Arabidopsis thaliana: one gene and its partner. The protein of the gene in region 1 purifies or fractionates together with the protein of each later gene. This does not show direct contact. Each region holds a gene or a part of one and is shown in the gene's direction. Other genes may lie near its edges.

The links.
Region 2: the proteins of SNAP33 (region 1) and SAR1 purify together in Arabidopsis thaliana (affinity purification with western blotting, with the first as the bait; 2 studies listed by BioGRID). This does not show direct contact.

The regions. Positions count from the first base shown.
Region 1 is NC_003076.8:24,621,725-24,626,447, forward strand, and holds SNAP33 (soluble N-ethylmaleimide-sensitive factor adaptor protein 33), read left to right. Parts: upstream 1-1,523; 5' UTR 1,524-1,799; exon of another isoform or gene 1,800-2,019; intron 2,020-2,223; 5' UTR 2,224-2,302; coding exon 2,303-2,782; intron 2,783-2,915; coding exon 2,916-3,009; intron 3,010-3,101; coding exon 3,102-3,232; exon of another isoform or gene 3,233-3,444; coding exon 3,445-3,642; 3' UTR 3,643-3,907; downstream 3,908-4,723. Other genes in the region: AT5G61200 (myosin heavy chain-like protein), read left to right, coding at 39-206, 301-357; AT5G61220 (LYR family of Fe/S cluster biogenesis protein), read right to left, coding at 4,333-4,596. UniProt on the Arabidopsis thaliana protein: t-SNARE involved in diverse vesicle trafficking and membrane fusion processes, including cell plate formation. May function in the secretory pathway.
Region 2 is NC_003071.7:14,042,771-14,047,553, reverse strand, and holds SAR1 (synaptobrevin-related protein 1), read left to right. Parts: upstream 1-2,010; 5' UTR 2,011-2,216; coding exon 2,217-2,430; intron 2,431-2,882; coding exon 2,883-3,024; intron 3,025-3,117; coding exon 3,118-3,238; intron 3,239-3,430; coding exon 3,431-3,493; intron 3,494-3,619; coding exon 3,620-3,769; 3' UTR 3,770-4,095; downstream 4,096-4,783. Other genes in the region: RALFL18 (ralf-like 18), read left to right, coding at 722-1,033; VAMP723 (vesicle-associated membrane protein 723), read left to right, coding at 4,662-4,783. UniProt on the Arabidopsis thaliana protein: Involved in the targeting and/or fusion of transport vesicles to their target membrane.

The DNA.
Region 1 (4,723 bases):
ATTCTAACTAGTTAAACCATTATTTTGTTATGCCTAAGGATGAGTTGAAAGAAGAGAAACTAAAGGCCAAGGAAGAAGCAGAGGACTTAACACAAGAAATGGCTGAATTAAGATATGAAATGACATGTTTATTGGAGGAAGAATGCAAGCGGCGTGCATGCATCGAACAAGCATCATTACAAAGAATAGCCAATCTAGAAGCACAGGTACTTGCTTCTTTATATCTTCCAATTTTTTTATTTTTTTTGAGCCATCAGATATTGTTGAAGGAACCTAACAAATATCCATTTTCTTGTTAAGATCAAGAGAGAGAAGAACAAGTCCTCAACTTGCTTAGTTCCTCTTCCTGCTGTATAAACCAGCTAAGGTTCGAGTTAAACTTGAAATCACAGTTAATGCCTCAAATAAGCCTTTAAGCTATAAGGTTTGAATTCTTATGTATTTAAAGTGTACATAATCCAATTTGATTGGAAATTGGAATATAGATTTCATCCCTGTGATTATGTTTATATATGGAAATTGAGTTTTACAAGAGTGAAACTGCTTCTTCATGTGCCTACCAAAAAAAAAAACTGCTTCTTCATGTGGCTTCTAAGTGTTTAATTACGCCTTCAGCAACATGTAGAGATCTTGAGAAATTGACATGAGTCTCTAGAGAATGTTGAAAGCTGTGGTCGTTGACCAAGAAGATTCTTACTATTTGACTCTATTTGATAGGCCTGTAATGAGCCTAGGTCAATAAGGCTGAGTTTATTTGATGGCCCGTTTTTCTCTCTTTTATTGTTCTTCTTTTTCTTGTGAAAATAAAGAAATCTGGAAGCGTTGTTGTATCATCATGTATGTGCAGAGTCTAGTAACCTTGTTGTTGATGCAAAGGGATAAATGAATGGGTCAAGGAAAAGAACCTGTTGTCTTTATTGTTAATCAAGACACTTGTAGATTTGTTGTCTAACCTAATCCAACTTGACTTTAAGCAAAAACATATTCCAACTTGTTCTTCACCAAAATGATATGTTGAAATATCGTATCTACTAGGACATCAAGATTTTGTTGTAGTCGTTATCAATGTAACCGGTAACAAATAAAAATTAATGAGATAAATTAGGCATGATCATATCCATAGATATTGTCAAACAATTTTCTATCTTCAAGTAGTTTTTGGTTTTGGGCGAAAATATGTTCTCTTTGACAAATTCAACAAAGACCATTCTTTTTGGATGACAAAATTGACAACTTACCCATTCTTTTTGGGCTCATACAATTTATCAACTAAACCATCAGTACAAAAAAAGAAGCAGAAATTAGAAAAATATAAGAAAATGACTCTTTCTCTGTAAGAAAAAATCCAACTACGTTTATTATATCCACAATTACGTCCTATATACAATTAAAAAGATCTAAATTGCTCTATTTTCGTTAGAAAGTAGTTACTTTTTACTTTTTTAGAAGTTTGATCTAGAAAAAAAAAGAATTATATATATGACCGTTTTAGATTTGAATTAAATGATTTTGTTTTATTTATTAATTGATCCACGTTCCTTTCTACAATTTGTTTTTTTTTTAATCTCCTTGATAAATTTTCGTCAACACATACCCAAAGACCTCCTTGTTGTACTCTCAAATTCTTGGGTCGTTCTGAGTCGTCTCCGCGTTAAATCTTTTCCCTTTTTGATCCTTTCTTCCTTTCTTCTTCTTCTTCGCATTGATTTGGTCCTCCTTCCTCTTCTATTCTATTCATTAAGAACCTAATCTTCATCTTCTCCATCTTCTTCTTCACGGACTCCACTTCGCTCATCCAGGTAACCACAATCTGCTCTCTATCTTTTGCTTCAAAATTCTCAGTTCCTTTCTTCTCAATTTCCGTCTGCTAGATCCTGGGCTTTCGATTTGTTCCGTTCCTCTTCTGCGATTGTTTCGTTCCAGAGAGAATTATCGAAATAATTAAGCGAATTTTGTGTGTGGTTTTCATAGTCTTGGGTTCTTTAGCCGCTACATATACTCAATTATGCCCAAAATTAGGTTTAAAATTGATTAACTAAAACTTATACTTTTTGGTCTCGTCTTATGTTATCGTTTAAATTGTTCTTAGAAGTGAAATCATTCGATGCTACGTTTTTGACTTGTTGCTTTACTTTATCTATACCTTTGATTTGATCAACTTTTCTCTTAGCTTACAAGTTAGAATCAAAGCATCAATCCTGATTACTGTTTTGGTTTCTGCAGGAAGGTTTATTAGTAGTAACCAATCCAAGTGTTCCTTTTGTTTGAAGCAACAAGCTTTGTGATATTATCCTGAGAGACAATGTTTGGTTTAAGGAAATCACCGGCAAATCTTCCCAAGCATAACTCAGTCGACCTCAAGTCTTCCAAGCCAAATCCTTTCGATTCAGATGATGAATCTGACAACAAACATACCCTTAACCCTTCTAAGAGGACTACCTCTGAACCCTCTTTGGCTGATATGACAAACCCTTTTGGTGGTGAGAGAGTTCAGAAAGGAGATAGTAGTTCATCCAAACAGTCATTGTTTTCGAACTCCAAATACCAGTACAAGAACAATTTCCGTGATTCTGGTGGTATTGAAAACCAGTCGGTTCAGGAGCTTGAAGGTTATGCTGTGTACAAGGCTGAAGAGACTACGAAATCTGTACAAGGTTGTTTGAAGGTAGCAGAAGATATAAGGTCTGATGCTACCAGAACTTTGGTCATGTTACACGATCAGGGCGAGCAAATCACTAGGACGCACCATAAAGCCGTTGAAATCGACCATGATCTCAGTCGTGTGAGTTTTTCTTCCTTCTGGTTCTTGATTATAAAATGGAAACATTCAATCTTTTTCTGAGGACATTAGTTGGTGTGAGATAAGAAGACGGTAGACATTTGATGCTGAAACTAGTTGGATTTTTGGTTTTCAGGGTGAGAAACTTCTTGGAAGCCTTGGAGGCATGTTTTCAAAGACTTGGAAACCAAAGAAGACTCGTCCTATAAATGGTCCCGTCGTAACCAGAGGTTTGCTTCTTGGTCATTGATATCTCAATTCTTCTCGCAGCTATTTTACTTTCACCTAATTGCTGAATCCTTTATTTTGTGTTTTTGCTTAGATGACTCACCAACGAGAAGAGTTAACCACTTAGAGAAAAGGGAAAAACTGGGACTGAACTCAGCACCCAGAGGACAATCAAGAACCCGAGAACCACTCCCCGAATCAGCTGATGCTTATCAGAGAGTGGAGGTTTGGACTTCTCTTCCCTCTCTTCAATTTTTCCTTTCATAAGAACATTACTATACTCCTGCATCTGATATGAGTGATGCATGAACTCTTTATCTGTGGTCCTGTAATGCTAACAATTTGAGACATTGATGACTCATCAATGATGAGCATATATATCTGAGTGAAAAACATGTGTTTTGGACGCCACTAAACTTAATACTGGTTTATTACAGATGGAAAAAGCTAAGCAAGACGATGGGCTTTCAGACTTGAGTGATATACTCGGCGAGCTAAAGAACATGGCTGTTGACATGGGAAGCGAAATCGAGAAGCAGAACAAAGGACTTGACCATCTTCATGATGATGTTGACGAACTCAACTTCAGAGTGCAACAATCAAACCAACGTGGTCGCCGTTTGCTTGGAAAGTAGATGAACAGAGGGTTTATATGTTCATTACACTCATTCCTCGTTTGTTTTATTCTCTATGAAGTTGTTCTTTAAAACTGGAAAGATTCTTATCATGTTAAATACATTATTGCTATCTGTGTTTGTATTTGATCTTGTGACAAAAAACCAAAAAACTTATTGATCAAACAGAAGCAACTTTGGTATCGTTTTTATCTGTATCATAAAGCTTTCTCAAGAAATTCTGATAATAGATGAAATTATGAGTTTTAATCTCAGATTTATAACCTAAAAATATCAGTGCTAGAATACGACATAAGAATACAGAAACTCCAGACAAGTTGGAACATATGTTATGCAACAACTGCACAATCATGTGAGATTATTCAAAAGAACAAAAAAACCAGGAACTCTTCATTCCCTTTAGTCTTCCTCAGCTACAATCCAAGGGATATATTCCACAATGTCCTCTTCTTCACTTGTATAATGTCTGAAGCCATAAAACACAAAGACTACTAATGAGAACTAGACAAAGCAATCTGACATAGTTGGAAAGAACTATGAATAGAGGAAATAATAATCTCATACAAACACCACTTGTTCCCGAATCATATTCTCAAGCCACAAACTCGACAATCAATGAATATAAAGTGGCTCCAACATGACCATTAAAAACAAATAGCTTTGGAGGATATTGTAATGACAAACATACATCTACTGAAGCTTGACTTCCATGATGTTCTTGGTCTTGGGAGGATATGCCAAGTAAACCTTGAGCACTCTCTCAGCAACAAAAAGCTGTTTTTTAGCTTCAGCATAAGCCTCAGTCACCTTCGATGGGTCAGTGAGATTCTTGTTCATGCGGAAGCCATCCAAGGTCCTTCGCTTACTGTACTCCCTAATGTTGTAATCAGGGAATTGACGTCCCGCTCGAAGCAAGGCACGACATAGGCTAAGAACTTCACTACTAGACACCATTGCAAGATTGGAAACTAACCCTTAATTATACAAAGCCTGGTTAACTGCAATCAGTATAAGAACACAAAGAAGCTGAGATTAGCAATGCCGAAAAGGAAGAGAAGTAGTCAAGATGATCAAGGGATAA
Region 2 (4,783 bases), on another chromosome or scaffold:
TGGCAGCCATTTCTATATTTCGATGGATAAGTCAAACGTTCATAAAGTCAAGGGTTCTGCCTTTTGTTTGTGTTTCATGATTTTACCTTGAATTTCATTAACTAAAACAGTGTTAATAGTAACAGTTGGGGTGGTGGCGCAGTTGGCTAGCGCGTAGGTCTCATAGCTACTGAGTGATCCTGAGGTCGAGAGTTCGAGCCTCTCTCACCCCATAATTTTATTTTCTCATAGCTATTTATATAACGTTCCTTCTAGTATTTTTTTTTCTTTTCGTTATAGTATCTTGTCTTTGATACCGGAGACGTTATAACGGCAGTATAAGACGTTATAATCATGTTCCAATGCATCCCCTCAGTTTTGTGTTAAAAACGAGCCATCAATGTTATCATATATGGAAATCATTATTGAGGCTTTGACCAATTAATTATGCGAATTGACCGACTTTGATCACTATACAGAGCAAAACAAATCCACTGAATCATTTATTTGTGTAGGTTCATCTTTTTTGGGCACCGTATTCATTTCTTATTCCATGAATTTGACGGAGTAATTTTGATTTTCTTTTTCGAGTAAGAATCTGGTCAAATATTCGATGAACCTCTACAAAAAAAATTAACCTCTATAAAAGTGTAGATTAACCAAGTGTTTCATCACAAACCATTTCAACGTAAACGAAACAACAACTACTACTCTCAACTTTACACTCTCTTGATAAGTCTCGATGATGAATAACATGAAGCTCTTGATCATCGCTGTGATGATCATCTCGGCAGCTTTGCTTCCAGCGCTTGTGGTCGGATCTCGTCCGGTAAAATGTGACAATTGCATGGACGGTGGAGAAAAAGAAGAGATCATGAAGATGAGTTCAGGTGTAGATGTGAGCCATAGGATACTTCAAGCTAAGAGATTTATAGATTACGAAGCATTGAAGAAAAACTTACCAGCCAAACCAGATGGTAAACCGGATAAACCGGATAACAAATACCGACGTGGTTGCAGTGCCGCTACAGGATGTTACCGCTTTACAAATTAAACATAAACCACCTCTCTCTTCTTCTTCTTCTTCCTTTCGTTGGTGTGTTTTATTTTATTTTTAATTAGTATTTCCAATCACATTTCTTATTATTATATTTTATTGCAATTTGTAAGCCTTTGAGGCATTATCTCCTAGAGAGTTAGAATAAACTTCGTTTAGAAATTGTCATCCTTTTCTCACCAAATGATTGACGAGTGAAAATTGATCTCATCGTAAAGTATTTTTGCGGTCAAGTTCAAACAAATTGATCCCTTCTCTCGCACCATATTCTTGTTTTATTTTATTTAAACGATCGATATATTTCCAAACCATTCCTCCAAAACTATCACACATTCACACCTACCAATTTCAACTTTAAATACAAAATATAGTCTTGTTGTAAATATAAGATACACTTTAGAAGTGTACACGTGAAATTCAGGTATATATATTACAATAGTAAGCAACCTCTAAGTACAATTAAATCAAGAAAAAAATAGATTTGAATTAATAGGAGCGGACATGGGATGCATGTAGAATTGTAGATTATCATTTATTATGGTGACTAGACCATTGAACTTTCCTATAACTTTGAAAATATTCTTATTTAGTCATTTAATTTAGATTACACCAAAACCCCAAATATGCCAAATTTTCTACAAATACCCCAAAAAAGACAATTTATAAAATTATTATCCAACCACATGTAATAATCTTTGATGACTTTTAAGTTTTAAATTTTAATAGTAGATTTAGATAATATAGGAACCAATTATTCAAAGGTCAAAGTTCAAACTAGCTTATCCAAATTCATTTTCGCTGATAAAAATACGTTGAAACTATCAAATAACAAAATACCATTACACCAACATCACCAACTTTTTAAAACCCCACAAGTTGATTATTTGAATTTGCTTTTAGGTCCTCAAGTTCAAGATTGTTTCAATTTGCACAATCTGCATAAATCTTTCTGAAATATAACTTTTTTGCCCTCTAAAACTCAAGGGTTTGATTTTTCTTCTTCAACTACGTTAAGATTTCTCCTACACTTTTCTTTTTCACCGTATTCTCTTTTAGTCCTCGATTCTCTACGCGTTTCAGCGTCAAGTCTTCTAGATCTCTAAAGCCTTCGTGCTCGCCAATATAAATCTCTGAGATCGGTCCCGTAAAATCGGATTCGCGTCGTTTTTGAGTAAAAAAAATGGCGCAACAATCGTTGATCTACAGTTTCGTCGCTCGTGGTACCGTTATCCTCGTTGAGTTCACAGATTTCAAAGGCAATTTCACATCAATCGCTGCTCAGTGCCTTCAGAAGCTTCCTTCTTCTAACAACAAGTTTACCTACAACTGCGATGGTCACACGTTCAATTACCTCGTCGAAAATGGATTCAGTGAGTCAAAATATTGCTCGATCTGTAAGCGTAGCTTGTTTGTGTTTTGATTTATCCATTGTTTGAATTAGATTTTTTGCCTAATTGAGAAATATGAATCGAGTTCTTATGTTTGGTATAGTTTCCAGTAATAATTATGTATTGGCGTTGATAATTAATTGATGTTAGATCTATGGTAATCAGTGATATTTTTGGTGGATCTATCAATGAATATTTGCAATTTTTGTTCTGGATCTATTGATTCTTTGCTTATTTGCGTGTAGCTTTCGATATCATGAAGTTTTTGGCATTAGTGTATTGTGTTCTTTATGTAACTCTGTTTTACTAAACCTAATTGGGTTTTGGGTGATGTTGATGGCGGATATGGTCTCTTTATGATAGTGTTAACTTTCTTATCAGCGATATATTGATGAATCTATTGCTTTATCTCTTAATATAGAGTTTAAAATGGACCGGTTTTGTTTTCGTTTGTGCAGCCTATTGTGTTGTTGCAGTTGATTCTGCTGGGAGGCAGATTCCTATGGCTTTCTTGGAACGAGTTAAGGAGGATTTCAACAAGAGATATGGTGGTGGAAAGGCTGCAACTGCTCAAGCAAACAGCTTGAATAAAGAATTTGGGTATGTGTTTTTTGATCTCTTTGATTGGTATTGAAAAGGGTCTATGATTCATGGGCATAGTTATTGATGGACTTCTTTTTGGCTTCTCTAAAGGTCGAAACTGAAAGAGCATATGCAGTATTGCATGGATCATCCTGATGAGATTAGCAAGCTTGCTAAGGTTAAAGCTCAAGTGTCTGAAGTTAAAGGTGTTATGATGGAAAACATTGAGAAGGTTTGATTCTGACCCTTTTTTCTTTTTATCGATATAGTTTTATGTTGTAAACCTTTTCGAACAGAGTTCAGCTTGTATGACTTTAGTACCAGGATCTTATGATTCGTAAAGCATAAACTGTAGAGAGGAATGTTTTATTCTCGGTTGTGAAGACATATTCTGTTGTTAACTCGTTTATGCATTCGTTTGCAGGTTCTTGACCGTGGTGAGAAGATTGAGCTTTTGGTTGACAAAACAGAAAACCTTCGCTCACAGGTTTGTTTTCTAAATGGTTCAAAGTCAATAGACCCACACAGAGACATGCAAGAGTTTGCAGCTTTCTCTTACTGATTGTTGTTTCTTGGGTTTCTAACTTTAAATTTGAACTCGACTTTATCACAGGCGCAAGATTTTAGAACACAAGGAACTCAAATGAGAAGAAAGATGTGGTTTCAGAACATGAAGATAAAGCTCATTGTCCTTGCAATTATCATTGCCTTGATTCTCATCATCATCCTCTCAATTTGTGGGGGATTCAACTGCGGTAAATAAGTCTGGAACATTTCTTCCCGGCGTTATCGACTGCGCTCTGTGCTTCCCAAGATCTCTGAGAATATCTTCATTCAGTTCGTTGTGCTACCTTTTTGTTTTGTTTTTGTTTTTGTGATTTCTATATTCTCATACTATATGTTTCTTCTTAGATTGTACTTCTTGAAATTTGTTTTGTATAGGCTATATATATTATACATATATGTATGCATGTTCGACAATCTGCAATGTTGCTATTGCTGGTACTGACACTAATTCTTGCAAACCAATATTTGGACGATACTTGTTCTTGGCAATTTACTAATTTCTTTGGTCTGTTGATGAGACTCTAGTTGCGGATTGCAGTGAGGTATAAGCATAGTCCACAGCCGGTTAATATTAAATGGAGATGAATATGTAATTAACACGGTTTCGTCTGACCGATTCACCAGAGTCTCCGGTTAGTTCATTAAGGGTTTGCTCAAACGCTTTCTCCTCTGCTTCCCTAATTTCGGAAACATTCGCCTGATTTTCTGAGATTTTGGAATTTCTTCGAATTGATTGCCATGCTGAGCTCAAGATTTCGACTGCTGAAATCGAGGCGACTTGCGGAGCCACCTCCGGCTGATGTCGCGGTTATGTGTATTTGCAGGAAATGAAAGTGATCTCCTTATTGCGGCAAATCAGCCACTTCCTGTCGACTAAAACTGTGGTGCAGCATGTAAGAACAAATGCAAGTTCGGACAAACGTGTTGTCTTGGTCAGTGGTTTTACTTGGCTTAGTCTTCGATTCTCTACGCGTTTCAGCGTCAAGTTTTCTAGATCTCTAAAGCTTTCGTGCTCGCCGATATAAATCTCTAATATCGGTCCCGTAAGATCGAATTAGATTCGCGTCGTTTTTTAAGGAACCAAAATAATGGCGCAACAATCGTTGTTCTACAGTTTCATCGCTCGCGGCACCGTAATCCTCGTCGAGTTCACAGATTTCAAAGGCAATTTCACATCTGTCGCTGCTCAGTACCTTGAGAATCTTCCTTC